4 linked regions of the Tamandua tetradactyla genome follow. The protein of the gene in region 1 interacts with the protein of each later gene in a pairwise test. Links are inferred from orthologs where the notes say so. Each region holds a gene or a part of one and is shown on either strand. Other genes may lie near its edges. The genes, in order: GOLGA2, GEM, FAM124B and CCDC87.

Evidence for each region.
Region 2: the proteins of GOLGA2 (region 1) and GEM interact in binary tests that used the Homo sapiens proteins (3 or more experiments, as listed by UniProt). The two-hybrid records come from large-scale screens. The link is inferred for Tamandua tetradactyla from reciprocal best matches to the Homo sapiens genes GOLGA2 and GEM.
Region 3: the proteins of GOLGA2 (region 1) and FAM124B interact in binary tests that used the Homo sapiens proteins (3 or more experiments, as listed by UniProt). The two-hybrid records come from large-scale screens. The link is inferred for Tamandua tetradactyla from reciprocal best matches to the Homo sapiens genes GOLGA2 and FAM124B.
Region 4: the proteins of GOLGA2 (region 1) and CCDC87 interact in binary tests that used the Homo sapiens proteins (3 or more experiments, as listed by UniProt). The two-hybrid records come from large-scale screens. The link is inferred for Tamandua tetradactyla from reciprocal best matches to the Homo sapiens genes GOLGA2 and CCDC87.

Annotation. Positions count from the first base shown.
Region 1 is NC_135328.1:51,074,391-51,081,890, forward strand, and holds the start of GOLGA2 (golgin subfamily A member 2), read right to left. Parts: upstream 3,005-7,500; 5' UTR 2,937-3,004; coding exon 2,853-2,936; intron 1,632-2,852; coding exon 1,521-1,631; intron 628-1,520; coding exon 547-627; intron 1-546. Other genes in the region: DNA repair protein SWI5 homolog, read left to right, coding at 3,145-3,293, 3,428-3,643, 3,779-3,839, 3,958-4,107, 7,067-7,188. UniProt on the Homo sapiens protein: Peripheral membrane component of the cis-Golgi stack that acts as a membrane skeleton that maintains the structure of the Golgi apparatus, and as a vesicle thether that facilitates vesicle fusion to the Golgi membrane.
Region 2 is NC_135332.1:137,604,024-137,611,672, forward strand, and holds the start of GEM (GTP-binding protein GEM), read right to left. Parts: upstream 3,016-7,649; 5' UTR 2,333-3,015; coding exon 2,297-2,332; intron 2,029-2,296; coding exon 1,689-2,028; intron 1-1,688. UniProt on the Homo sapiens protein: Could be a regulatory protein, possibly participating in receptor-mediated signal transduction at the plasma membrane. Has guanine nucleotide-binding activity but undetectable intrinsic GTPase activity.
Region 3 is NC_135329.1:200,148,598-200,155,549, forward strand, and holds the start of FAM124B (protein FAM124B), read right to left. Parts: upstream 3,016-6,952; 5' UTR 2,494-3,015; coding exon 1,762-2,493; intron 1-1,761.
Region 4 is NC_135335.1:7,814,427-7,822,410, forward strand, and holds CCDC87 (coiled-coil domain-containing protein 87), read left to right. Parts: upstream 1-4,979; 5' UTR 4,980-5,026; coding exon 5,027-7,612; 3' UTR 7,613-7,821; downstream 7,822-7,984. Other genes in the region: CCS (copper chaperone for superoxide dismutase), read right to left, coding at 4,364-4,436, 4,729-4,767. UniProt on the Homo sapiens protein: Plays a role in spermatogenesis, where it is important for normal sperm head morphology. Also required for the acrosome reaction and thus normal male fertility.

The sequences.
Region 1 (7,500 bases):
TGATTTTTAGAAAAGACTGGGAGCAGAAGATCCTAACCACTCATCTGTTTGGTTAACCTCACAGCCTTTACAATGAGCTCTTCTGAAAAAAGAACCTCAATTCTTTCAGCTATAATCTCTTACCCATATATTTCCTACACTCAAACCAAAAAGAATTCCTCAATTCGAAAAATCACAAACATCTTTGTGGTCTACTGGCCCCCTAGGAATAGATGATCTAAGGGCAAGACAAAGATTTTTAAAAAATCTCTCCTAGTCTGATAGCACCACTGGACATTCAATACCGAGGCCCAAATAGCTTATATCCCTGCTCTGAAAGTTATTCCTAAATTACCTAAGATACACTACCACCTTCTCCAAGGTGATAAAAGACTTGGGGGAAGGGAAAAAAACAATCAAGCAGGTGAAAAGATATGAGCAGGCTGAAGGTTAATGACAGCAACATAAAATAAGCTAGAAGTAAAGAATTCCCCAAACCAGAAAAGCCTCAGGAGCATGCACAGGCGGAGAGAGCAAGCCAGAGAGGGGGTCTTGGCACTGCCTCACCTTCCACTTGTCCAATGAGGGTAGTGCTACCCCATTGGAGCGGTTAAGGTCGGACACCAACACCTTCAGAAAGTCCTGAATCTACAGGCAGCAAAGGAGGAAAATAGGGGGAGGGGGGAGAAAGAGAGAAGTGACTTAGAAAGAGGTAAGAGTCAGGACAGCGAAGAAGAGGTGGGTTCAGGGAAATGGGATGCTGAAGAAGATACAGGAGGGGATCAATACCGCAGGCTGTGCCGTCCTTCCAAACAGCCACTTGCTGTCTTGCCAGAGGCAGAAATCAATGTACACAAATAAATGGAGAAGTTCACTAAATTAAGCAGTCACATAGACGGGGGGGAAACACACTTTTGAGTAAGGGTTCATTTGAACAAAGGGAGCTACAGCTAAAAAAAGTTTGAAAGATGCTGCTCTAGTCCAGCAATATCATCTTACAGATGAGGAAATGAGGCTCAGGGGAGGAAGAGATTTTCTGAAGGCAAACTGGTGGCAAAGAGACTCGGAACTCAGACCTTCTCCTAATCCTAGTGGCTGGGGCTTTCTTCATCACACCTTGGGGCTCTGTTGGGACTTTCTAAAGGGAGAACCTGACAGCAAGTGGCTGTTCTCATCAGCTTGGCTTCTCACTGAGGCTGGGAATGAGGAAAATCACCAGAGCAACAGGTCAAATGGAAACTACCATTTATTGAATATTTACTCTGTACCAGACCCTGTACTTAAGGACTTTTATAAAAACAGCAACAATTCTCATTTAAACTTCACAATATATAAATAAAACAGTATCTCTATTTTACAGATGTGCAAAAACAGTCCCAAAGAGCTTGAACAATTTTTCTAAAACCACATCCTTAGCAGAGGAAGACAAAGTCAGAATTCTTAACTAGCACTTAATACTTCCTCTTCCATAATCTTAACCCTTCTCCTCTACTGCTCTTTCTGCATCCCTATCCCCGGAAGCCTGGCCAGCCAAGACTCACATCCTCAGGTGAGTGGTCATCAGAAGTTGGTGTTTCAGGACCATTTTCTATCTTTTTTTTCTTCACTCTTGGAGGAACAGGAAGATTGTTTTTCATCTGAAATTCGCGTAACTGCAGAAAGGAAAAGGAGAGACGCTCATGAGAAATCTAAGCCCCTGGATGCAATCTGATTTAATGCCACACCAACTCTACAGGGTGTATAATTTTCGTTTAATTACCGAAGAAATGGACTCAAAAAAGTCAAGTGATAGGTAACATGGCTTAAAAAAAAGTTATTTAAATTTTTGACTTAGAAGTTCTGGGGTTCTCCCATAATCAATAGCTGCCAAGGGGAAAAACCAGAGATGGACATCGAAAAGTAATTATTAAATGGGCAAGACCAATACACTGTATGATTTAGAAATTAGATATAGGGATCCTTTCTATACTTCATACAGTAAGCACACTTCAGAGAACCCTAAGTCAAGAAGATGACATGAAGAAGATTCCCAATAGTGAAATTCATGCATTTTCCCAGGATCTATAGCACAGAAGATAAGCAGATCTTACTCTAAAGAGCATCAAATGAGGGGGAGTCTGGTCCCAGAATCTTAGGGTATTAGAATGTGAGGTAGACAACAAGAAATATTTCAAAGTCTCTCTGGAGAGTAGAAGCCTGGGAGAAAAAGCCAACAGTAAGCTCTCCCCTTGTCACCAAGCGATGTTGTAAACATTTTGAGATCAGCGGTGAAGTGTGGGCTGTCAATGTCTAAGGATGCGGTATAGCCAAAGTATGGGAGCCTGAAACCTCTCTGCCTATGTCCCACAGTCCCGAGTTCCCTTCAAGCTGGTAATCTGCTCCGCGACCAGAGAAGCCGGAAAGGGGTGAACACTGGGGATCGGATCGGAAGATCAAAGGCTGGTCCCATGGCGATAATGACAGCTCCGAGGGGGACTGTGACGTAACTGCATTCCATCTCTCCCTACCCTCCTCCGAGTCACCGCTCGGCGGTGGGGGAGGGGAGACCAGCGCCGGGACCGAGGTCCCAGGAGACCGGGAACCCAAGCTGGCCAAGAGCCCACGGTGGCTCGGTTCTGGGCAGCAGGACCCGAGAGCCCCGCTCAGAGCAGGGATCCTGGGGGTCACCGGCCCAAAGTCACCCAGGAGCGACGGGCGAGGGCGGGAGCTAGGCAGCCGAGGGGGCGGGACTGGCTGAAAAGACGAGAGGGGCGCCAAGGGGAGCCGAGGGGCTCTTCCCGTTTGCCTCAGGGGCAGTTCAGACTCTGGTCACCGTGTGGTGGGTCGGAGGGGCCTCCGGGCTGGGTCGGGAGCCGCGACCCAGCGCGCTTTACCTTCTTTCTGGCCGAAGCCAATTTCTGCTGTCGGGTTTCTTCCGACATCTCGGGAAGGGGAGGGGGACGGGGGAGCCACATCATCTAATCCCAGCAGCCACTGCGAAATCGCTTCCGCTAGCTACCGCGCCGATGTGTGACTGAGCCAGGGAAGGGAGGGACCAGGGAGGTACTAAGCAGCATAGAATGTGGGCGTGGCCTAAATCTCCCCGTCCATTGGGCGAGGAGAAAGATGACACGGAAAGGGGCGGGGCCATATCACTGTGGGCGTGGCCGGGAGGGTGTGCTCACAATGAAAGATCCTCGCGGAGTCACGTCTCCGCCCACTTTGGGGGGAGGGGCGCGACCGTTGTCTCCGCCCGCCTTGGAGGGGCGGGGCCCAACAGACGTCTCCTCCCACCCTGGGGGCGGGGCGCAACCGCTACCTCCTCCTACTCTGAGGTGGGGCGGACCCGCCTTTCCAGGGTGCGCGCGCAGGTCTCATTATGGCGGTTCATTTCCCACTCCGGGTTACCGTTACTCCTCAGATCTAAGACCCATCTCCAGCTCTAGTCCTGGACCCTCCCCCACCGCAGACTCCCCCTAGCCGGGGACCCCGGACTCCTGGGCTCAGGAGGTAGGCGAGGAGCGGAGAAAGGGGAAGGCTCAATCCCTCACAGCCCTTCTCCTGACTCCGCAACGGTTCCAGACTTTCTCACCCTCTCAAAACCCCGCTCCACCGCCCCACCAGACACTCCCTCCCCATCTGGGACCCTCCCCTTCCTCGAGGGTCCGGTACCTACCCTAATCTCGTGAGTATATCGCTACCCCTCCCAGCTGGATCCAGTTCGGGTCGCTTTTACTTCACATCTGCTCTTCCTCCCACAACCCCACAGCACCCTTTCCTCCCAGAGCACCCGTGAAGTCTAACTAGTTTTTTTCCTCAGATTCCTCTCCAGGACTCAACCAGGACTTTCCACTAGTTGCCGCGGGACCTTCAGATCCCCTGTGAGTATGTCTGTGCCCCCGCCCCCCCTACACTCGTACCTAACTACCTCTTGCCCTCCTCTCCGTCCTCAGCGGCAGGTGATCTACTCCTAGCCCTCATCCAGCGGTTGGTTCGCAGTGGCTGCTGGGACTGGATGATGTGGCCCCACCCTCCGTCCCCCTCCCTTCCCCGCGGGGTCGGAAGAAACCCGACAGAACCGACTGGCTTCGGCCAGAAGAAAGGCAAAGATCTTCCCTCTCAGACCTTATTCTGCCGAGAAACTCCAGGGTATTTCTCAATCCCTCATCTTCTCACCCCTACACACATTTTTTCCTCCTGTCTGCTAAGTTTGGGGGGGGGAATCATTGTCCTGTCCTGTCAGAAGCCAAATTCTGTGCTAGTGGCTGGAATCCCCTCCGCCCTGCCCTCTCCCTGCCTCCCAGATGTATTTGCTGGTCTCTGGCACCAGCCAACTCACCTGCTCACTGGTTTCTCCCTTCACCCAGCCCTACCTTTAAACATACCCAAAACTCTTCTGTCGGGAACAGGCATAGCTGCAATTGTCTCCTCTTCTCTAGCAAACCACCCCCAAAACATGACCTCCTTTGCCTTCTCCCCTTATCTCCCCCACCCCACCCCACCCCTGCCCCATGGGATTCCCACCACTTCCCCCACTCTCAAGTTAGACTGTGAAATACTTGGTACACATTTATGCGTTCAACATTGATTAAGCAACTGCTCTGAGGCTGGCATCAGGGATGCAAGTGTATGCGGTAGTCCCTGCCTCCCAAGGAGGCACAGGCTGAGGATGATGAACAGGCAGAATTCCAGGACCATATGAGCACATTTATGTGAGGAGGAGCCCAGACTTAGGAGTGCAGTGAGAGCTCCCCAGTGGTAGTGAAGTCAGAGGCAAGGGCTAACTGACAGGGTAGATTAGGCCAGATGATGTGGGTGGGAAGCCACAAGTTCACCAAAAGTACCAGGTTGATTGACCCTCTCTCTAAAAGTACCCTGATGTTACTTTCTTTCAGAGAGTCTCAGTATTCATTGTCTTTGACCTCCCTGTGTCTTCTGATTCTGCCTAGCACATTCATTCCCATCACTAACAAGTCAAGTCTTTTATTTTACTAAGCCCTTACTTTGCCTCAATCATTGTGGTTGATTCATCTTGCTGAATCCTTTCAACAACCTTTGAGGCAGAAGCGGATGAGGACTCTGAGTTCCAGAGAGATTATAAATCTCACAGTCCTGGGAGTGATGGAGTTGCAGCATTTAAACTGAGGCAGCCTGACTCTAGATCCTTAGCTCTTAACTAATACCTTCTTTGGGCCTCTTTGGAAGATACCTTATCCTGATCCTCCTCTGTTTTTCCTTGCTTGCTTGGCTGGCTCCTCTGCCTCCTGTTTCTTCCTTAACATGAATTTGGGTGTATTCTTGTGGTTCCACCATCCTCCCTCTATTGTTTTTTCTACACACTCCCTCAAAGATCTCACTTCAGTGCTTTCAGCTCATGTCAGTGCAGATGATTCTCCCATCTCTCTCTAGGCCGGACCTCTCTGGACACTTAACAGCTGCCAGCAGGATACCTCTACTTTCCTTTCCAACCATCCTCACATCAGTGGTCCCCTAGTCACTCAAACTGTCTCTCCTCCTTATTAATGGCACCACAGTTAATTATTTTTATTATTTTTCACAGCACTTTTATTATCCCTTCACCCACCCCATTCCACCCACACTGAAACCACTCTCAGTTCTCAAACACATTGTGCTGTCCCCTGGCTAAGGACCTTTGGATATACTGTCCCCTCTGTCTGGAATCCTTTCTTCCATCCTTTTCTTTTGCCATCTTTTTGCTTGCTCATCCCTCCGTATTCAGCTTTCTTAGCCTTCTCCATACTTTCAGGATTCAGCTTTCTCAGCATTCTCCCCACTTTTGGCTCAGCTGATTCACCCTGTGCTTCCACTTCAGGACACTTTTTAGACTTGTAATTAGTTGATTAATTATATGTCATTCATCTGACAAATATTGGGTGCTTCTTTATGTGACAGGTACAGTCACAGACACTATGGAATCAGCTTTGAACAAATGAAAGTCCCTGTCTTCATGGAGCTTATACTCTAGTGGTTTAAGGCAGACAATGAAAGTAGTAACATTGATGAAATGTTTATGTCAGGTGGTGATAATGCTATAAAAAGTCAGGGTAAAGGATAACAAGTGATTGAGGAGTTATCGTTGTAGACAGAGTGTATGCAGTGACATGTGAGAACAAGTTTCAGTGGAAATGTCTGGAGGAAGGGCATAATTGTTTGGTCTTTTCTATCTGGGGCCAGGCTTGATGTTTCATGAAGACAAGACCAGGCTTGATGCCTTGTCCATTGTTAAGCTCCTGGAGCTTTTCCCAATGCCTGGCAGATAATGCTGTCACTATTTGTTGGTTAAAAGCCACAGATCTAAGAACAGGAACCATGTCTTCCTTATTCTCTTCTGTCTAGACACTTCACGTAAAACAAATTGTTTTGAGATTAGCCTTCACAGCCTTTAGGGACAAAAAGGACAAAGATAAAACTAGCTCCTAGAAAGTATTTTGCCCTCCAGTGAGATTATAATTCCAGGGACATAGCAGATTTGAGAACCCAAGAAGGTGACCAGAAACGGAATTTTTTGGGTCAGATTGAGGAATAGGGTAGGTATATTAGTTAGGATTGGACTTGCCTGAGAGTGAAAGAAAGCTCCAGATAACAGTGACTTAAAAATCACTAAGAGGCAGGCAATGGTGGCTCAGTGGCAGACTTCTCATCTGCCATGCCAGAGACCTGGGTTTGATTCCCAGTGCCTGCCCATGTGGAAAAAAAAAATCACTAAGTACCCATGCCTCTATCTTGTCCTGCCATGACTTCAATGTATGGCTTCTATGTCATCTTCCAAGATAGTTGTTCAACACCAGCATTACATCTGCATTCCAGCCTGTAGGTAAGAGGAAAAGCCAGAGAAAGGCATGCCTTCTGCCTCGAAGGATGATTCCCAGATATTGTATACACCATTTCTGATTGCCTTCCATTTGCCAGAATGTAGTCATAGGGCTCATCTAATCCTAAAGGGGGCTGGGAAATATAGTCCCATTCAATAGGGAGGTAGGTTTCTATTACCACGACAAAAAAGTAGAGTGATTAATGGGGGAGGCACTTTGTAGACTCAGAATTACAGATAATTGGCCAGTCCAGTTAATGACTTTCTGCCACTCAGATGCTGTCTCCCAAGTCTGACCCGGCCAATGGAGCCAGCGAGGATTCTCTTCAGCTTGACATTCAGAAGCTGAAAGAGAAGAGGGACATGTTGGACAAGGAGATCTCCCAACTATTATCTGAGTAAGTCCCCTTTGCTGGATTCCTCGACATGGTTAAGAAAACTTTTGATTTGTGCCCAGTAACTGAAACTTGGTCACACTAGCTTAGCGTAAAAACAGGACTGTGCTGTTGGATTCATGGTGACTCAGTGGCCTTCAGGGCAGGGAGGCTGGTCGGCCTCAGGAGAGCCCAGAACTGGAAACTGGAAAGCTGTCAGGAGTGGAGTCAGTCACTCTTCCGGTCTCTCTCTTGGGCTCCCATTCTCTTCGTCTGCATCCATCTGCACAGATACTCTAGTCTCTTTCTTCAGCAAGGTTTTCAATGCATAAGGGA
Region 2 (7,649 bases), on another chromosome or scaffold:
TCACTTGACTTTGTAAGTCTCCATTTCTTCACCTGTAAAATAAGGATATTAGTGCCAAATTGGTTCAATTTTGTAACTATTATCAAAAGTACAGGTGATGCAACAGTGGCTCAGTGGCAGAATTCTTGCCTGCCATGCTGGAGATCTGGGTTCGATTCCCGGAATCTGACCATGCCAAAAAACAAAACAAAACAAAAATACATGTGGGAAGTAAACGGCAGAATGAGAAAAGCACTGAACTACGATTCCAAAGCCCTGAGTTCTAATCCCAGCTTCTTGAATAGGTGTTTTTAGACAAGCCACTTGGTCTCTCTGAGATTCAGATTATTCATATGAGGATAGGAATTCTGTGAAAACAACAACAAAAAGCAATAGCTTTTTCTGCCATTGCATACTCAATCTTATGAGTATACAGTCTCATTGCATACACTCATTCTCAATGTTCGTTCCTTCCTCCCTTTCCTCCTCTTTCAGCAACAGTCATCCTGCACCCTTTCCAAAGGAAGAAAGGATCAATTGTACAATACTGACCCTACTCCTCCCTTGTCAGTTTAGTTGTCATCCCTGAGATCCCAAAAGCGAGTTGAGAATCTGTGTCACATCAGTGAGTCATCACTTATAGCACAATTCCTGAGCTGCCTCATAATGAAGTAAACTCCCTGACACTGGAGATAGTCAAGAAGAACAAGATGTTTAGTTCAAATGGGCCACTGGTAGCGAGCATCAAATGGAGGGTAGAAGTGAGTCATCACTAAGGCATCTGCCTACTCTAGGAGTGTGATTCAGTTGTGAGTCGCAATGGAGTGTGTGGACAGACCAGGAGACTTGGGAAAGGACTGGACTTTCATTTCTACAGCTACAAATACAAATGCTCAGCTACCTTGATTGTGTATGGCAAGTCTCTGAAAATCATAGCTAAAAGACACTGCATGAACACCATAGGCTGTTAAGATTCTCATCTTACTTCCCAGAATGTAGTGCTGTGCTTTACACCGAGTTCAGGAATACATCTATTTATGAGCTAATGCCACCTCAAATTAGTTTTGGAAATAGGTAAGCCTTAAATAAATGAGTATTTTAAGTGAGATTATACAGTGGAAATTGTTTTGAAAAGATATTAGACTTTATACAAAGTATTTATATCATTATTATACTTCAAATATATTTTTAATGTACTATTCCGAGTAAATTTTTGACCAGCTCTATGCCACCGATTGGGAAAAAGTGCCCCTCAGGCTAAGTCAAGTGTAGCACTCACCCTGGCCACAGTCCACCTTTCTCCAAGGAACACAGATGCACTTTTCAAAATGAACCTTCGGGGATAAGAACTGAGGCAAAAGGAGGGAGAGGACAAGGTCCAGGTCAGAGCCAGCAAAAGCCAGCAGTGGGATCTTGACTCTCTGGCTCTGGGCCCTCGTTAATCAGACTCCCCCAATTCTTTTAAAGCTGGAACATAAGCAATTCCCTTGCTGGCCCAGGTTCAACAGATTTTGGCCCTTCTCATGAACATTTTTATTTTCTTGTCCCAAGGACCTATGCCAGGGCCCTTTGGGGGACTCAGCTCCTCCAGCCACGCCAAGAATCTCAATTCCCAACTCTGCAGATAAATGACCTACCACTCGCCCTTTCTTCTCGGTCCCTCTGACCACTGCTGATGGACAGAAGCCCACTGGGGCTGAGCCACCTACCTCCCAGCATCTCACAGTCGCTGTCCATGCTGTCGTGCACACCTGCAAAGATGTTGGCCAGAGTGGACTTGCCCACCCCTTGCTCCCCAATGAGCACTACCCGGTAGTAGGTGTTCCCTGACTCTGAGGAGATGACTGAGTCCGTGGAGTCGGAGGACCAGCTCCGGCGGCAGGGGTCCTCAGGGGCAGCCGAGTGGCGGTTGCGGTGGCTGTACTGGTGGGGCTCTTTCTGAACCATCAGATGCCTGCCGTCAGCTGGGATGCTCCAACGCTGCTGCTGCGGCTGCATGGCCACAGTGCCCTGGCGCATGGTGACATTATTCAGAGTCATCGCTGGGTCCTGGGGAGCAAAGCGGCCAAGATGCCAGTATTAGTAAGCATAGGCAAGAGCTCAGGGGACTCAAACACATGGTCAGTCATCAGTGACATTTTATTAGGTTAGTTGAGAAGTGAACATCCCTAATATAAGGAATACCAATGAAGTAGCCCCAAACCCCAAACAATCCAGGCTTTCAACACACACACACACATACACATTCCCCACACTATTAGTAACCACCTCCTCATGGAGGCTTTCTAGACTTATATTTGCAAAGAGAAAACACTACCGTTAATGTCACCCACTGCCCACCAGCTTCCTCCATCCTCAAAGCAGCCTGGGATCCCTACTCAGAGCCCACACAGCAGCAGCCAGAAAGAACCAATAGCCTCCTTGTTGAAAAGCAACAAGTTAACTGAGCAGGGGACCAGCTGGCCAGGTTAACTGCTCTTGTCTAAACATGGCTCTTAGCTGCATCAGGACCAGCAGGCTTTTGTGCCTCGGTAGGAAACACGTGGCAATGACATCACTCCCCCAACTGGACTGGACAAGCACTTATTGGAACTTCCATGTTTAGTAAAGTTGCCTTGATGTTCTCCAGCTGCCTGACTAGGCTATTATTTGGAGGAAAAAAGAACTTCTGTTTGAAGTTTATGCCTCAGCTCTGCCCTCTTGCCCACAGATATCATGTTTAAAACATCCCAGCCCCAAACCTCCCCTTCTCTCATTGAAATGACCTGGCCACATTCAAATCTATCAGATTTTGCATTGACAGTGCTTCGCTCTTATTAATCTAGGTACACTCTGAGAATTCCTTAATTCAACTCAGATTTCCACCTTGAAGCAAACCAGAAGCCCAAAGTCTCTCCTAAATGACCCTCAATCACTTCACTTACAACTTAGCCCTTGTAAGACTCCCTCCCCTGCACAGAGGTCTGCCTTCCCTGACTACTTTGAGTTAAAGTAGCATTCTCATTGTAATCAGCAAGATCCACTCATAGGAGTGTGATATACACTCCCACACCCCCACACCCCACACCCCACCACCTTGGCCCCTGAACCGGCTGGCCCGCTGGTGCTTAAACCTTAAAAGCAGCACTTCAGTTGGCAGACTTGCAGTCACACGACAAAATCATAAAGTATCATAGAGCTCTGCCGTCTGACCTCCCTCCGTAAGAGGTGACCCTCTGCTGAACAGAACTAAGGAACCTGCTGGAAAGAAGCAGCATCCTTTGCACCTTAAACTATGCCCCTTACCAGACAACCACAGCGCAGAAAACTGTGGGTCTTTCGAACCTTGGAAGAAGCCCTGCGGTCTCGGAAACGCCCACCCATTCCCCCGACCCCATAACTCCCTGCGACGTACGGAAAACCCTTCCCCTACTGCCCCCCTTACTTGGCACGGCGGGGTCAGTGGGGTCGTCGTCGGTGAGTCCGTGTGTCCGTCCGCGCTGGGATCCTGGGGCCGCGGAGCGCGGTGGGGCTGCTCGCGCAGTGACCGCCCGCCGGTGCCCGCCGCCTGCAGCCGCCACGGCCCCGCGGTTTATAAAGAGTCGGGTTGACCCCAGACGGGGCTTTTCCGTGACGTCAGCGCCCCCGCCGGGAGGGGGCGGCTCTGCAGCAAACTCAGAGTTGCAACCACTCCACACTAAATCAGTTACTCGCAGTCATGTGACCCGTCTCCCCTTTTAAAAAATGACAGTTCATTTCCAGGGCTTCCTTTATTTTGTTTTATTTGACTTTTCCCAGGTAGAAACAAGAAAATGACAAAATACACTAACTGCCACTTAATCGCCGTTCCTAGCACAGCACTGCAAGCTGTTTGGGATAACGGACGGAGGAAGAAGGAGGCATGAGTTGTGAGCCCAGCTTTGCCAAGAAAACAGGGATCATCCCTGCACGAGGAGAGCTAGCCTCCAGCATGGGGCTGCAGACAGCTTCAGCGGCCAGGGCTTGCTTCAGCCGCATTTTCTATATGGAAAACAGCCTCGCAGGGCCTCCTGCCGCCTTCTTTCTGGATAAGGGGTAAGGAAGGGGGCAGGCTCCACACTGCTCTGAGTTCCTTGTTTGGAAGGGGCAAGAGAGGGGTGAGAAGAGGGGCAAGACCTTGAAAAGGGCAGTTTTGAAAAATAATTTAATTAGGGATCGAAGCACATTGGCCTAAATATTGTAGGACCTTCTGCTCGGGGCCAGGATGCTGAGGCTTCTCAATCAGGGAATTTAATCAGCATTCCAATCAGCAGCATATCTGTACCAGGATCTCTGGTAGGCCGGGGCTCTGGCCTGGAGCCAGTGTCTCCCAGCCATGGGGAGGGACATTGAGCAGAGGCAAGGGGCTCCAGTCCCCTGAGAGACTCCTATGAATAAAGCACACAGCATAGTAATAACAGCAGTGATTGCCATTTTCGGAGTACCTCATTACCGAATTACTATGTCCCGTCATTCCTTTGCAGATTTTAACTCTTAAAACAATTCTGCAAGATGGACTTATTGCATCCCCCAATCTGTGGAGGGAGAAAATGATGCTCAGCCAAAGAACCTGCCCAGTGTCACACAGCTCAAAATAAGTGGCAGGTTCAGGATTCGAAACCTCCTTTGTTTGACTCTTTGCACTGCATCACCAGGAGAAGGGTTTTGATGACCTCTTCCTGGGGACATGGGCATTACCCAGATGCTGTGCTTGAAAATGATGCTGGCCTTTCTGACCCAGCCATCCACTTTTCTGGCCAGCTTCATCTCTGGGTTGGCTGGCGGCTCAAGGAAGCAGCCAAAGGTACCAGCGTCTATTTGAGTGACTAGACTCTGCTGTGACTAGAATTTATATGGCATCTCAGTCCATTTTCAGTTATCTGCTTTAGGGATTATCCAAATGACCAGCTGCTGAGATGTGCCAGTCCCCACGCTGGCCAAGGTGGAATCCACAGGGTAATGAAAACTTAGAGCACCTTTAGCCCCATATGTAAGGAAACTGAGACCCAAAGAGATGACAGCCAATCAGTTAAAGTAAATGGCAGAGCTGGGGCTAGAAACTGGGTATCATAATTTCCTGGCCAGTGCCCTTTCTTTTGGACTTAGCCAGGAGACTACAGATATGGAGCAAGGAAAAGAGGGGAAGTAAAGGGGGAGAGAGAGACAGAGACTCCCTCACTCCATATTAAAACATGTGTAATTTGTGAATTGTCTGCATTTCAGAATTATCCATGCTATTCATGCTAAGCCTCCTACTCTGTCAACTTGTCTCAACAGGAACAAGTGAAGAGTAAGATAATAAATCAGAATTAATATGCATATCATATATTTTTCTTTTTCACCTTTGCCCAAAGATACCTAATTCTTCATATTAAAAAGAAGTGAATTCTGTACCTGGCAATTTACAGTGAGCTAGTTTTCATTGTCATATTTAAGACACACCAAAGAAAATGATCTCTAAAGATTACAAGTGGGAGGACGGTTGGCTTTCATCCATTATTGATTCAGTAAGTACAGCAATGTTTTGTTTGAATTAGAGAATCTGCCTTCATAAATGTGCTGACCCATAAGGACCAAGATGAATGCAAATGAGAAAAACAATTACTTAGGGAAAGTTTAAATAATACAACAGCTAAGTTGGAGTGAATATTTAGAGAGAAATCACAATTACAGCACACGAAAAGAAAATTTGAGAGCCAAATCTTATCCAGCAGAGTTTCAGCTGCTTTATCCAATATTCCATTTCGGTGGGACCATTGGAGGGTAGGAGCTTGCTCAGGGCATTTGAGCAAGTGGCAAGTTCTAAAGAGGAGAAATTGGCAGACATTGTAGTTTCTTAGTCTATGAATTATTGTTTCCATATTTTTTACGCCAGAATTTGACAACTGCCTCAGGTTCGGGCTGAACTGAAAAAGCTGAGCTAGCTAGGAGGCAAAATTGAAAGCAACAAAAATAACTGACATTTACTGAATAACATCCATGACTTATCTCAATTAATCCTCATCACATCTGTCATTATCCATATTTTATAGATGAAGATGCTGAGGGATGAGATTGAATGATTTACCCAAGGTCATGGAACTGTGAGGTGACAGAGCTGCACCCTCTAAGGCCACCGTCTTCACCGCTGTTTGATTTGGGGTAGAAGGACACGTCAGCCCTGTTCCCATACTAGTCCCACCTCTTCCCACTCCTTTCCTGACACCCCTCAAAAAGAACCTTTTGTCTGATTGCCCAGAGCCCATGGCTTTCACTGGGCCACATTTTGCCAACAGGCAGGGTTACTAAAAGGTATTAACCTATGTTTTTCTGTTTTTATTCCTAGTTCCTTGTCCTTGGTGAGAATGTAAATTCGGGGTCCCTTTGAGGACCATCTCTATCGCTGTCACTGTCTCTCTCTCTCTCTCTCTTTCCATGCACACTGAACAACCAGGTCCCTTGCCTTTAAGCGGGATGAAAGAGGGTGGAAAGAAGGGAGGAAAGAAGAATAGACTCTTTGACCAATCCTGTGAAATAGGGCGTTAGGCGCTTGCACAACCATTCATAAAACATTACTTTGTATTCTATCCTTTGAAAATTCAACGGGAGGAAAGGTGATGGATAGTCACAGGATTTGTACATCCCTGGGTCTGTGATAACATCCTAAAAGCTATAATACTTTATTCTAAAAGCAACAAACTCACACATTTAATCTTTAATGTTCTCTACTGCTTCATCTATACAGTAGACTTATTACAGCTACAGTAGTATTCTCACATGCCACTAAGTAAATGCTCCTCAGTGGTAGAGGTGATGCCACCACCACTGCCTCCCTTTCCCACCACCAAAGAGGTGACTTCTAGATTGGACACTGGAGAGATGCTAAGTGGGGGTTGTTTGAGTGCTTTTTAAAAGTTTTGCATTGTAACATCTTTAAGCAAGGCATGTGCTCTCCAGTTCCCCAGTCCTCACACTCCCTAAGGCATCCACCCCAGCCAGCTTTTCTCATGTATATTGTCTGCCTGGCCCCCCAAAGGCATCTGGCTCTGTGACCCCCTGCATGGGATAAAGGAAAGAGTAGGGGATTTGGCCAGCCTTGCCTCTTCTCAGCCATGTGATGCAGGGCATGTCACCAAACCACAGAGGCCTTGGTTTTTGCTCCGCTGTTCTGGGGACTAAATGAGCTACTGAATGTGGAAGGGTTTTGTTAACCACAGAGTGATTATGATTATGATGCAGGAGCCCAAGATTGGAACTTGGCCACATGCCCTCGGCTTTGCTGCCTCGTAAGCCGCAAGTTAAATTAACCCAGTAGAATTCAAGACACATGCAGTGGAGGGAGGAAGGGCGGGAAAATGTACTCACATTAGATGTTGCTAGGAAAAAATAATTAGCAAGGAGAGTGGTGTGGTTAAGTTCTTTGTAAACAAACAAGGAAATGGGGGTCAAATACCCAGCACTCATAATAGGGCTCCACCAGCCATAAAAATATTCAGAGGAGGAGCTGGGTGGGAGGCAATGTGCAAAATGTTGGAGAACAAAAAGAACCACCCATCCACTCTGGGAAGTCTAAAGAAGGAAAGAATTACTATATGGAAAATCATTGCTTTACAGAGGGGGTAAAAATGGTCCCAGTTGCAAAATCAAAAGAGCCCTGATTAAGAGAGAATAAAGCCTGAAGAAAAGATGGCTAA
Region 3 (6,952 bases), on another chromosome or scaffold:
TCCCAAGACACCAGGAAGCAGGGGGTGTCTCCACAGCCAAGGGTTGTGGGAGGTCTATGAGAAGGAGGGAATAATGTTCTCTTCCTACAATCTACCCTGGAAGGGTAATGAGACTTCTAGAAAATCCAAAGAGGAATATGACTATTTTTATGTTACATACAGAGATTTTCCTTTGTCAAAAAAATAAATGAAACTACTCTGCACTCCCCAAAGTTGATTCAATTTTCCAAAGTAACTACCAGTCAGTAGCTGTAATTCAGGAGTAAAACTGTCAGTAAGCCTCTAAAACCAGAATGATTAAAAATGTGCCCCCTGCTGAATACACATATTAAATTCTTGTTTGACAGTGAGGTTGGATCTAAATTCTGGAGATTAACTAAGACTGAAGGGGAAATTTAGATGCCTTGGAAATTAGTGGGTTATATAACAGACAACTAACAGAAACAGTACTGTCTACAGTATGTGATCAAGAAGGCAAATAATCTAGAAATCATTCAATATAGGCTATGATTCATATTTTATTTAACTAAGAAGTCAAAGCTGATAACAAAATGAGCCAACAGATAAGACAGCTCATCTCAGAGCCTGTTCTTACTTTATCAGTTATGCCTTAAAGGGGTTGGTAATGCTTCCTCAGGGACAGAAGCCACAGCGTATTTTGCTGTGAATATCATGTACATGTCCCTGTCTGCTAACACACACACACTCACTTTCACACCCACAGAGCCCTAGAGTACAACAGTTAAAACCATGAGTTTTGGAGGCTGATAGACAAACCTATAGGTGGGTCTTGGGCAAGTAACAGAACCTCCATGCCTCAGTTTTATTATCTTCAAAATGAGAAAAATAATGACATCTTATGTTACCAGGATTAAATAAAATAATTCAAAGTACTTATTATAGGGCATAATAGGAATAATAGCTAAATTTGAGTTCTGGGCACTATGCTAAGAACTTCATAAGTATTAGGTTATTTACTGTGCATACCAACCATTTAAGAAAATACTATTATCCTCATTGTGCTAAATGAGGAAACTAAGATACTAAGTGACCAGGCTCAACTATCACATAATACACCAGGAGAGATGGCATGGGGAGCCCATCTTGAGAGTTCAGCTTTAATAGGAAGGTTACAAAAGAAGGCTTTCTTTTGAAGGAGATTTAACCATCTAACTTGGTTTGAGGTAAAATTTGACAGCAGTACAGGCTACTTAACAAATTAAGTCAACAGGACCACAAACTTCACATCTCCAAATGTAATCACACCTTCGACTTCCTCAGGTCAGATAGAAAGAGCTTATGATATTTCTGAACCCAAAAATAAGTAGGAACAATATTTGGATCTAGTTGATTGGCATGGTAAAAAGAAAATCTGAGAAACAGGACATGGTCTGCTTCTCCGGCAAACTATATGTGTTAGCCACAAGCTCACTGAGTCTGAATTTCCTTATCTGTCAAGTGGGAGTTTTTTAGATCAGAAAACTCTCAACTGCACTATGTATTAGAATTATCCAAGGAGCTTTTTTTAAAAATGCCCAGTCTTGGATCACCCCCTCCCCCCCACCCCACCCCTAGAGATTCTGATCTAACTGGCCTGGCAAATGACCATGGCATGGGAATTTTTTTTAAGCTCCAGAGGAATGTAATGTGTAACCAAGGTTGAGAACCACTAGATTAAATTATGTCTTCATTCACATCTCAGATGTAAAATTACACAGTCTCATATGCTTTTACAAGTCCAGAGAGGGAAAACAGAAATACCTGCAGCAGAATCTTGTTGCCATCGTAATCCTGAGTTTGCCACCTGGTGCTGCTGATGGGAATGCATGGATTGGGTAGGAGAGGCACCAACTGGCCAATCTCTTGAACCCTGAACTGTAGCACAGAAGACTCTTTCAGGTCCACCGACACCCCGAGGGGCAGCTGCTTCAAAGAAAGCTGCAAGGCAAAGCCCTTGGTGGAGTAGAGCACAAAGAAACAGAAGTCGCTCTTTTGCAAGGTGGCTTCTTTTTGTAAGATCATCTCGTAGAGTCGGATGGTGTCCTCGTAGTTATCAAAACTGCAGTAGAGGGTCACCCTCAGGATCTCGGTGCTACAGTGCACCTGCCTCACTCCCCAGATGGGCATCTGGTTGTCCAGACTGTAGAAATCCTGATTGGCAAGGATGTACGGGTACAGTCTTCCACGTGCATGCTGGGTGGGGTAGTAGTGCCAAGGCGAATGCTGTAGGGAGTCAAGAACACGAAGTATCCGCTGCTCTCCCAGGCTCTCATGCAGAAAGAGCAGAACAGACATCCCCGGGAACCGTGACCGCTTGGGGTGGTACTTTTCATAGTATTTCACTGGACTGACCCGCTCTGACACCAGGAAGACTCGAACCTCTGGGCAAATGCAATCCAGGAGCTGGTCCAGAGTTTGCTGCAGAAGCGAGCCATGCCCTGAGTTGGCAAGGAGATGTACAGTCATGGCCAGAGGCTCTTGTCTTTCATCCATTTTGGAACTGCCAGAATACTAAAAGAAAAGAAAAAGAAGAAGAAGGAAGCATTCAGTGCCCACTGCTCAAACTTCTGAAATCAATGAAGGAGCCAGGAAGGCCATGTTGGGTTCTCACGTGGAACCTTCACCTCACCAAAAATGCTTCAGCTGCAACAGCTACTAAAGAGCAAAGCACTTAGCCAGCTAGTGCACAGCCTAGTGTGTGCTCACGGATGCACAGTGCGGGAACCGCGCACAGCCTGGGCACAACTGCTTCAGCTGCACACAAAGGCAGTCAGGCTGACATCATCCAGCTTCAGCAGAATGGAGCTCTTGTGTTTTGCTTTTTCAGGCGTTCCCCATGGTTTCTGTTTGACCTAAAAACCTATAATCCTGAGAAACAACCAAATGGGTGGTTCTTACAGGCACTCAGTAAAGGAAATGACCACTCAACAAAAAAAGAACATGCTGATAGCAATCTGGTTAGTTGAAAAGATAGCCATTTTATTGACCCACATGGGTTCTGATTTCCTCCCTGCATCTCTGGGTGTTTACAGTAGCCTGCCAGGCCACCTAAATATAAGGACTTCTTTAAAACAATTCTCCAAACTTGTTCCCTTGCCAGGTTTTTTTTTTCTTCTTCCCTTCTTTGTCTTTGGGTTTTTTTTGTTTTCGAACATTGTATGCTAGAGCATTGAGACAAGGTACTTTATCTAAATGATTTTGGCAGGTCACTGAAAATTCTTTGCTCTATTGCAAAATCTGAGTGGTCTAAAAGTACATTGAAAATCAAATCTCCCCTTATTCATCAAAATCTTCAGAAAGAAAAGGCTTTCCAATGTAATAAGAAAAACAATCATTGCTCATCTTTGTTGAGGATCCACAGCTCCGGACATAAACTTCTAAAACGTCATATGAATTCATTTCATCCTCCAAAACACCTATGAAGAGGAAACTATTATCCCCAAATTCCTGATGATGAGATTCAGACGCAGAAAAACTAAGTAACTCATGCGGGTTATCATAGCAAACAAGTGCCTCCGTGAAGGTGTCAACCCAGGAATTGAGAAGCACCTCTGAGACCTTCTCTGAGGTCTGGGCAGCGGCCCCGGGTTTTCTTCCTGAGGTTCTAGTTGAGGACACGTGTCTCCTAGAGGCTTTGTGTTTTGTGGAATCCTAAATTCTTAAATTCTGAAATACTCATCAAGAATATATTCAAGCTCTAAACACTGCCCATAACACACTAATATGCTCTAAACGTCGGTTGGAAAATCAATTGCTATTTTAGGAGCTGTGTCCTAGAAAGGTGTGGACAAGCACATCTATCTAAACATAATTCTTCTTAAAAATAGGCAATTTATTACTTAACAGAACACGGTGTGATTTTATTATTTTATCGATTTAAAAAACACTTTTGTCATGAAAAATATTATCGTAACTTTTATTTTATATATGGTTCCTTTAATAGTATAATAACCAAATATAAAGCCAAAATTACTGTCCATGGATAGGAATCATTTCTATTCAGGTTTATTCCTAAATCTAACCTACAATTTTAATCATTTCTGTTTCATAATTCCAATGCTTTATGCCTTGGAAAACAAATAAATGCAGTTTGTAGAGAAATCTTTTTAAAACAACTATCAGAGACTCAATAATTAAATATATGTTGCTTAAACTTTCCAAAAGTCATTAGAGTTGTTCTTTGTTTTTTTCTTGCATGGACAAGCAGCGGGAAATGAACCCGGGTCTCCGGCATGGCAGGCGAGAACCCCACCTGCTGAGCCACCGTGGCCCTGTTTTGTTTTTTTGTTTTTTTTAAGGATTACATCTCTTGAGTTGGTTTTTTTTTTTATTTTTTAACTCAAGTTATTTTAATTGATGGCAAATGTTAACATCTGAAGGCAAACAACTTCATCACTCAATGTGAAGCCTCTCTCCTTTCCCCTTTCCATCTACCTACAAAACCAACTATGTTCTGGCACTTTCTACAAGACCATGGTTCTTGAAACAGCCTCTGCAATTCTGGAAATAACTCTAAAACTCTGAGGAGGAGAAAAATTATACACTGAGACAAAGATATTAAGCGACAACATTTTGTACAAGGCAAATGTTTAAGTCCTCCTATAGGAAAAGGTTTTCCTTCTGGATGCTATTGTTTGAATCTCCCATTCAATTCTGAAACATACTCTATCCTCTCAGGATTGTCATTTCTGTTACGATTGAAAAGATTTCATGAATCTGATGGCAGTCCAAGTGCCAAGGAATTGGGGGTAGCTAGGGGAGGCGTGGGTGGGGAACCAGCAGTCTCATTTCTGCCTGGCTGTCTCCGCACGTATTTCTCCATGAACTAGCTGATACATTGACCCTTGGAGTGACTGCTTCCACTCCCTGCCACCCACCTCCACCCACACGATGGCCACATTCTCTGCTGCATTCCATGGCACTCTTGATGCTTGCACATGGCTTCTGTTGAATGCACAGATGAAAATGCTAAGGAAAGTTGTCAACTTAGACTCCCAGGAAGTGGACAGAATCAGACACTTGATTCTCTACCTTATTTTTCTTAAACTCGCCGAGATGCGCAGGTTTTAGCTATCGATCACCAGCTCCTGGAGGGCAGCCAAGTAGCCAACTCTTCACAGAGGGCAGAGGAGCTGGCGACAGTGGTGCAGGGAAATCTAAGAACTCTGCTAGAGGATTTGGTGGAACCCAGGGAGGGCCTCACGGATTTGTCCCTGCTGCAAATCTCATAAGCAGTGCAACAAATTCACACCCCGACGTCCTACCCCCACCTCAAGAAAACTTCTCTTTTCTCTCTTTAGTTTGCAAAATCTATTGAGGTATGCAACATGTTGCGAGCCAGGCATTTTGCCAGGAGCAGAGAAAAGATAATCACCTTGTGCCTACTTTGGGGAATGTGCCAATTGTGAGTGTGACCTTTGATTAGAGGGAGATGTAACTCCACCCATTCCAGGTGGGTTTTGATTAGTTTACTGGAATCCTTTAAAAGAGGAAATATTTTGGAGAGAAACAACAGAAATAACAGGGAGAAAGCCAACAGAAACTTTAGAGCAGAGCTGACAGTCAGAGAACAGAGATACAGATGTTTGGAGATGATTGGAGCCCAGCAGACGTCGCCATGAGATGTTAAGCATGTCAGAACCTGGAGAGAGCCAAGGGAAGCCAAGAGAGGAAAGCCAGCCCTGGAGAAGCAAACTCAGAAGCCCCCAAGGAACAGGGGCTGAAAGCTACAGAGTCCAGGAGCAAGGGACCAGCAAATACTAGTCATGTGACTATCCAGCTGGCAGAGGTATTCCTGACCCATTGGCCTTCCTGGAATTATGGTATCTTTCCCTGGATGCCTTAGTTTGGAGAATTTTATAGGCTTAGAACTGTAAACTTATAACATTAAATTCCCCTTTTCAAAAGCCATTCCAGTTCTGGTATATCGCATTCTGGCAGTTTGCAAACTAACAGAGGGAGGAACACCTTAGAGTACATCACTGATGCTGTGATAAGGGTCACTGCAGGATGCCATGGGAATCTTTGAGAGCAGCCACTGGCCTAGATGGGAGGGCCAAGGATGCTATGAAGAAGAGAAAGAAGATGACGCTTGAACTAGTGAAAAGCAAGAAGGAATGAGGTGGGGGAGGTGACTGGATATGGGGAAAGGGAAGGGATCCTAGGGAGAGAAAGGTGATGGGGAAAGCACCCGGGAATGGCTAGGGAGCCTCACTCATTGGTGCAACTAGCAGCAGTTCCAGATGGCAAAGGGTGGGGACTAGGAAAGTGGTAAGAGGCTGGAAAGGTAGGCAGAGGCTCCAACAGGAAGGGCCTCATGTACCACAGTGATGGGTTTGCATTTTATTCTAACGTGAACAGATCCACAGAAGGGTTGGCTTGGAAAAGGGAAGTAACTCCTGCAGGAAGATGTGGACAGGAGTGATAAAAGGAAAGTCAGTGGACAGGCTTGTTTACAGGTCGGATGTGGGCAGAAAGCTACAGTAACTAGTCCAGGAAGCCTCCCAGGTAATACTTAATAGATGCCTGGGTGAGGCTATCAGGGACCCAAAAAGGAATATGGGAGAAAAGGAGCAGTCGGGAGGGAAGGGAAGGAGCATGGTTTGTACATGTTGAGTGTAGATGCCTTTGGGACTTCAGAGTGGAGATGTCCAGTCGGCATTTAACATACAGTTTAGAGAAGGGCTGCAGGCCACAGAATATGGATTAGGGAGCCATTGGTATTTAGGTAACCATGGGAATGGATGCAATTACCAGAAAGAGAATATACAGTGAGGATAGGATAGGGAAGAGGATGGGGCCCTGGGAGCATCCAGGTTAAGGGATAAGTGATGTTTAATTGATGCCCAGGGAGACGTGGAGAGTAGTCTGCATCTCCTACATCTGTGCAGGTGCTTGAGCCTCAGGTTCCAAGGATTTCAGGACACCACACTGCCTGGGCAGACATCTTGCA
Region 4 (7,984 bases), on another chromosome or scaffold:
CCTGGATGCCTTAGTTTGAACAATTTTATGTCCTTAGAAGTGTAAACTTAATAATGCAATAAATTCCCTTTTTCAAAGCTCTTTCATCTCTGGTATATTGCATTCTGACAGCTTTAGCAAACCAAAAAAAAGTGGGGGTGGGAAGAACTATCACTATCCTCAGCTGAGCTAACATTTACTGAGCCTGTGCCGTGGGCTGGGCCCTCTTGTAAGGGCTTTATCCACATTAGTAACTCATCTGATACTCGGTCGGTAAGCTTGAGAGTTGGGTCCTATTATCTCTACTTTACAGATGAGGAAACCGAGGCATGGAGAGATTGAGAAACTTGCTCCAAGTCACACTGTTAGAAGTTGTGGAACTGGAATTCAAGCCCAGGCAGCCTCCCTGAGAAGTCCGAGCATTCAACCTGGCCACTCCGCCAGCCCAGAGAAGCAGCCTGTTCTCCCCAGGAGGGCTGGGGACCCCCCTCTTCTGTTCTCCTGCGGCAGCTCCCATTTCCTCTGAGTAACACAACATACCACTGATCACAAGTCCTGTTTCACTCACAGGCTGCCAGGTCTGTGAGGCTCGCTGGCATCAGGTTCAAAAGTTAGTGGGTCAGAAAAAGAGCCTGGAGAGTCTCAACTTCCCTTGAAGTCCCCAAAGTCACCCCTGTGTGTTCACAAGCCTGTGAGATAATCCCCACACACATTCAGCTTTGAGGGTCAGCGAGCCTACTCAAATTCAAGGCAGGAAAAGAAGAGGCTTCTCTTTTTCTCAGATTATTTGGGCTTTCAAGCCTTTTAAAAGAACTTTTGAATCCTCGGGCCTGTGGTTAAAAAGGGTCTCACTCTGCTTGCCTCTTGAGGTCCACTGCAGCTTGGTGACAGTATTGGGGGAGGGACAGACTGTGTCAGAAGTTAGACAGATAGACCCATCTCCTTCTCTGCCAGGACAGAGGGATCTTGGGATCCTCTAAAAATAATCAAGCTGTCTTTAACTTCATACATCTCACCCTGAGCCTGTGAAATCTTGGTGCTTGGGATGTGCAGCCAGAGGCACCTCTGGATGCCAACACCTGGACAGGGGATGTCGGGCAGGATGGGAAGGAACCTGTGTCCTGAGCCCCAGGGTGGGCCACTGTGCTCCGTGTTTTCCACTCACCAAGACAGAGATACTGTCCTCACAAAGCTCGGAAGGCAGCCTGTATAACCCCCAAAGCTGATACTTTGTCCCCTTGCCCCACACCAGGTGGGGTTGGACCCCAAAGGACTGGTTGTCTGAGGCTCCAAGAGATTTCATTTATTCATTCACATATTCATTCATTTGACAAATATGGACTAAGCACGGACTACGTGCCATGACCCAGGCAGTGGGAATGTATATAGCAAGGAAAAAGTCAGGAATGACTGTGGGGAAGGGAGAGCCATGTTAGGGTTCTTTTGAGGCCCATATGCAAGGAAGAACCTTCTAGCAGAGGGAATGGCACAGGTAAAGACCCTGAAGCAGGAACCACCTCGAGGTTTCTGAGAAGGCAGGCTAGTCTGCTGGAGCTGGGAGTGAAGAAAACAGCAAGATATGAAGTTGTAAGCAGGCACCAAATCAAGCAAAGCCCTGTTGGCCACAGGAAAGAATCTGGATTTCACGTAACGGGAGGTCATCGAGGGGACGCAGAGTATAGTAGCTGAGAGTTTGTGCTCTGAAGTTGAAATCCTGTACCTGCTGCATACTAGCTGTGTGGCTTTGGACAAATTACTCAAACTTTCCACTCAGTCTCTTTAGCTGTAAATGGAGCCAATAACATCACCTACCTCAGAGGGTTATTAAAGGCCTCATATAAAGCACTTAGAAGAGTGCCTGGTCCAAATGAAGCTCTCAAACATTGTTTTTACTGGAAGATTTTAAATAGGGGAGTGTGCCAGTTTGAAAGTATTATGTACCCTAGAAAGAAAGCCATGTTTTAATCCTGATCCAATCCTGTGGGAGCAGCCTTTTTTTTATCCTGATTTAATAATGTTGGCTAGAGACGTGACATGCCCAATTGTGGGTATTAACTTTTGATTAGATGGAGATGTGACTCCACCCATTCCAGGTGGGTCTCAATTAGTTTACTGGAATCCTTTAAAAGAGGAAACTGGAGGGTCAGAAAGAGAGAAATGACAGAAGACTTAGAGCCGACAGAAACTTCACAATCGTGCTGACACAGATGTGGACACGTGGAGAACAGAGACACGGATGTTTGGAGATGCTTGGAGCCCAGCTCCACTCCAGCTGCCATGAGATGCTAAGCAAGCCAGAACCTGGAGAGGGCCAAGGAAAGCCAAGAGATGGAAGCCAGCCCTGGAGAAGCCAAGTGAGGAACGCTCACTGATAGGCTGAATGCAACAGAGCCCAGGAACAAGGGACCAGCAGATGTCAGCCACGTGACTTCCCAGCTGATGGAGGTGTTCCAGGCCCACTGGCCTTCCCTGAGTGAACTCTTGTTGGGGCCTTAATTTGGACATTTTCATAGAACTGTAAACTTGTAATTTATTAAATTCCCCCTTTCAAAAGCCATTCCAGTTCTGGTATATTCCAGCAGTTTGCAAACTAACACAGGGAGCAACATTATCTTATCTATGATTTTAAAAACAACTCTGACTGCATTAGAGAGGCTAGCAGAGGGGCGACACAGGCAGTCGGGAGTCCACCAAGGAGCATCTTGCATAGTTCAGGAAAAGGTGAGATGGCCGGGATATGGAGGTTACACTACTTAAAAAGGGAGGCTGATTCGGAATGTTTTGGACATACATCTGACAAGGGTTTCAGAGGGCAGAGGTGGGTTCCTGGGCCCCAAGGTGGAGGGCCAAAAGCTGCTGCTCTCCTCCTGAAATGCAAAGGCAGGAAGCTCCTCTTAAGCATTCACCTTCTGAACTTAGCCTGGGTTGGAACCCAGAAGGAAGGCTCCCCAAATAAACAGCTGTTCAGTTCTGCAGAGAACCTCCTAAATGTGAGCTCTTTCCACTGACTCCTGGGAGGAGAGCTGAATCCTTCTTCCCCAAGGCCCCAGTCTCCAGGACAGGGCAGTTCTCTCGCACGTGCTCTTTCTCTCTTTGCATTCTGGAAAACTACAACTTCCCTACCTAGCCCATGAGAAAGTCAAGCTGGTTCCAGCTGCAGTCATCCAGGCCAGAAGTCACAGTCTCCAGAAGTCTACAGGTTGCCTAAGAAACCTGCTGTGGGCTGAACACTGCTCTGTGTCCATCAGAAAGTCCAGCTGTCTGCTCTCCCAGGAAGCAGAGGGCCTTACATCCTGGCAAATCTTTGGTCAGAGCCCTCCACATGCCAGTGGACTAACTCAAATTCCCTATGACCATTACTTTGCCACCTCAAAATACAGAATTTGAGCAAACTCTGCTTCAAAGTCTGCCCCCTCACACCTGCCCCCAACCAAACCATCACTGTGGGCTCTTCCTCTGAGACTACCCAAGATCCAGTATTCTCTTACCACACGCCAAAGACTTTTCTCAAGTACTTTTCATGTATTAACTACTTTACTCTTTACAATAGTCTTCCAGGATAGGTTCTTTTGCCAGCCCCATTTAAAAGCTGAAGAAACAGAGATGCAAAATATAATTTGCAGGTCTCAGAGCTATAAAGGGGTGAAGAGGTGATCTGACCCCAAAAAGACTGACTCCAGAGCTCATGGCCCTAACTGCTCTCACTGCCATTCTGTGCAGAGCTCAGTGCTCCTACTGTTCCAGCTGCAGAACCCTTCTCACTTGTTTCCTTCCAGAACCGCTCTTCCATGAAGTTCTCTGTGAATACTACCGAGGCAATGCTGGAGTGCCTGATGAACCTGGGAGCTTTAAGATGCCAGAGCTTGGTCCATTACCAGGGCTATGCAGTGAATGACTGGATAAACATTTAACAGAATCAGAGTAAACCAGTTCCCAGACCCAAGCTGATGGGTCTGCTTTCTCAGATCTCTGTGCCAGGTCACCTCCAAACTAGCAGGCTTTTGAGAACCAGGAGCCATCTAAGATGGTCCATCGCCAGGATTGCCGTTTGCTTCGTCATGATCATGCTGATTTCCAAGCAAGAAATGCCTGATTTCTGGGAAATGCCCTCGGTAGGAGGAGTTATACTCAGCCGGCTGAGGTTCAGAACACCCGAAGGCCAAGGCAGTTAGAGCCGATACATGCTCTGGCAGGGCAGACCTGCAACCTGTACACTAAGCATTGTCTCTGGGTCTCTGTGTTACTCTGATAACATTCCTTCCTTTCTCTGGGTCTCACTTTCTGCAGCTGTAATATGGGAGTTGGGTCGGTCAAAGAAATTTGTCTGGCCCCTCCCAGATGCCTCCAGACTGCTGTCTTCCGGGGAAGTTTTACAGGCTCTTACCTGCTACCCCTTGCAGGGACCTGTGTACCGCGTCCACGCAGCTTTGGCAGGTCATCTGCACAGCGAACTCCAGCTGCAGGGGCGGTAGGCACGAGCCGATGAGAGCCTGAGGCGTGCGCGACCCTGTTTCACCACCTCCCCTTTTGCCACCCCAAAGGCCTGAAGAAACGTCCCAAGTGACCCCTTTCCGAGCGCCCCCTTCATTATCACTCATGATCATTCCAGAACCGTGGTCCCATTCCTCAACAATCTCGCCAGGCGCCTTGCTACCTTCGCACCCCAGGGTCACCCAGGATCCCATGATCCGCCCTAGCTGCCCGCCCCTTTCCCCCTTTCTAGCTCCCTCACGAGGCCTCGACCCCCACCAGGCAGGTGGTCTCGTGGTTCCCCGACTCCGATGCCATCCCTGACTCAGTTGCCAGCGGGAAGACGCGAACCACTCCGCTCCTGCAGCGCAAACCCGGAAGAACATCGTCGGGGGCGGAGCTTCGGGGTCACCTTTTGACCCGTCCCCTAGTGCGTGTGCACGCAAAGCCCGCCCCCTCCATACGCCCACAGAGTGAGGGGCATAGGTTGCGCAGGCGCATTCGGGCCACTAGGACCCCGGTTGCCTTAGTAACCCCTGGGCCGCCTGGGCAACTGCAGACGCCGCCTTGGGCGAAGATGCCGCGCCAGAAGCGGGAGCCCGAGCTGCAGCACTTTTACCACCGCTTGCTGCAGCCGTTGTCGCTCTTCCCCCGCCAGGCGCCGCCCGCACAGTCTCAGAAGCGACCCCCGCAGGAGATGCGGATGCTGCAGATCCTGTCGCGCCCCCGGCTGACAGTGGCGTCGCTGTGCCGCCAGGTAGCCGAGCGGCTGGCCCGCTGCGGCCTCACGGCCCCGGTGCTTCCCGAGGACCGGCTCCGCCTCACCGAGGTCATCCTGGACGAGCTGAAGTGCGGCTGGCAAGAGCCTCCCACCGAACCTAATCTGAGCCAGAGGGACAACCAGAAGCTGCGGCAGCGACTCGAGGCCCACGTGCTGCTCAGCAGCGAGCAGCTCTTCCTACGCTACCTGCACCTGCTGGTGACCATGTCTGCCCCTGCAGGCGTCTTCACCGAGCCAGCCACCCTCACACGCTTGGCCGCCAACCTCGCCAGGGACTGCACGCTCTTCCTTACCGGCCCCGACGTTTACCGTTGCCTGCTCGCTGACTTCCGGGCTGTGCTGAGGGTACAGGCCCACCGCTCCGTGGACCAGCAATACCGAGGCAGCCCCCTGGAGGCTTCCAAACTCTGCCCTATCCCCTGGCCTCACAGCACCGGCTTTGCTCACGTGCCATGCTCCAGCCTCAACCTGAGCTACCTGGTCTATCTCAGCCGCCCGCCAGAGTTTTTCAGCGAGCCGCAACTGGATCCCATGAAGGAATTGAAGGCCATCCCCCAGCTGAAGAAGAGAAAGTCTCTCCACTGGCTGCCCTCCATGCCAAAGAAGGGAGAGTTCGACTTCATTCCCTCACAGACTGTGTCACCACCCAGTGACATTGAGATTCCCCCCAGTCCGGCTACACCCCCTCTTTACTTCCCCCTCTCCTCTCAGCTCCAGGGCCACCAGTCCATGCCTTGTCTGCGAGAAGGATGGAAGCTGGCAGATGAGTTGGGCCTTTCTCTGACCCCAACTCGCCCCTTAACCCCACTGGTCCTGGTTGCAGAGGGCAAGCCGGAGCTGCCAAGGGACACCCAGACTGAGGATCTGAAGCAGGTGGTAAAAATCAAATTGGAGAGTATTTGTGCCCTATCACTGGACTCAGGGCTGCCCCCACTCCTGGGGGCCCTCACCCGCCGCCCGGCTGCAGAGCACCGCATGAAAGAGCTGCAGAGGACATTGAAGGCCCTCCAGGAGGAAGAAACCTCTGGCCAGTTGGACCTCCAGTCTCCCAAAGCCCTGCCACTTCAACCCCAGCCAGTGACTGTGACTCTAAAGCTAAGAAATCAAGTCGTGGCCCAGGCAGCTGCTGTGCAGGTCTCCGATAGAAACTTTTTTGATTCCTTCCACGTAGAGGGGGCTGGAGTCGTGTACAACCACCTGGCTGGTGAATTGGACTCCAAACTCATCGAGGAAATGGATGCCCATTGTTTTGTGGGCAGTAACATCCAGGAGATCTACAAGGAGTTGATGAGCCGGGTCTCTACTGACCACTTCCGTTTTGACCAGGGACCCCTGGTTGAGCCTGCAGCAGATAAAGACTGGTCTACCTTCCTGTCCTCAGCCCTCCTACGTCAAGTAAAACAATACCGCATCATCAACCCTGAACTGGCTGATAATCATTCCCAGGAAGCAAACGCTTTGCAGCCCAACTTAGAGAGGCCGCCCTCCCTGGTAACGCTCTACCCAAGCAAAAGCTGGGATAAGCGGTCGAACAAGTTCACATGGGTGAACTGGTGGCAAGCCAGCTTGTCTGGAGGTAACTACTTCAAGTACCTCACCAGCCAGGAAACGGATTTTCTCCACGTCATCTTCCAAATGTACGAAGAGGAGGCTCCCGTGGAAATAGTGGCCCCTGTCAGAGCATCCCAGGAGATTCCTCCTCCCCCTCCTCCCTTGTTAGAAGATGAAGAGCCCTGGGACTTTGTGCCGGGAGAGTGGGATTGCAACGTGGTGCTGGAGCACGGGCTGGGGGTTGAGAGGCTGGACCTCCTGGGAGAACCCCACAGACTCCTGAGCCTGCAGAAGCGCCTGGAACGGCTGTGGTCCATGCTTGAGGTCCCCGACAAGGACCGGTTGGACATGGCCATCAAGTACAGCTCCAATGCCCGTCTAGGGCAGCTGCCTTCATTGGTGAGTGCCTGGGAGCGTGCCCTGCAGCCCATTCAACTGCGGGAGAGATTGCTGGGGAAACTCGAGTGGTTTGAGCGACATGCCTCCGACCCCAATCGCTTCTTCCAAAAGACTGGCATAGGCCTGAGTCGCCTCCTGGAGGAGAATCAGATCCGCAGCCATCTGTACAGGGAGCTCAGTCAAGTGGAGGCTTCTTTGGTTTCCCTCCTGGAGGAGATTGAGTTAATCTTTGAAGCTCCAGTGACCTTCAAGGGGCGGCGCTATCTGGACAAAATGAAGTATGACAAAGTTGAGATGCTGTACTGGCTGCAGCAGCGGCGGCGGGTTCACCACGTGGTCCGGGCCCAGAAGCCCTCCCAGCTGTCAGCCCTCTCCAAAAGGCTCAGCAGCCGGCCTTTAGTAGCTCCTGGAAACACTCCCATTACCCTTTGACCGGCCGAAGTACCCTCAAATCCCTTCCAGAACACCCAGCAGCTCATTCAGACCTCTTCACTGCATTGGAAGAAGAAATAGGGGAGTGCAGGCTTCAGGAACCTTGCGTTTCCAGTTACAGAAGGGTCTGAGAATAAAACTTTTTGATAGTGACTTTCTCAAAAAAAAAAACATACCCAAGCCCCAATATTCCCACTTACATTAAGCCATGCACAATACAGCCCAAATCTCATAGATCAAAAGAACTGAGACCATCCCTTGGAATTTATTGTAATGGGAAATGTCAGATGGAGGCAGACCATGACCTTTGGAGTGACCCAGTTTATCATTCCTAATACATTACATTAAATTGGCTGATTAGAACCACAGATC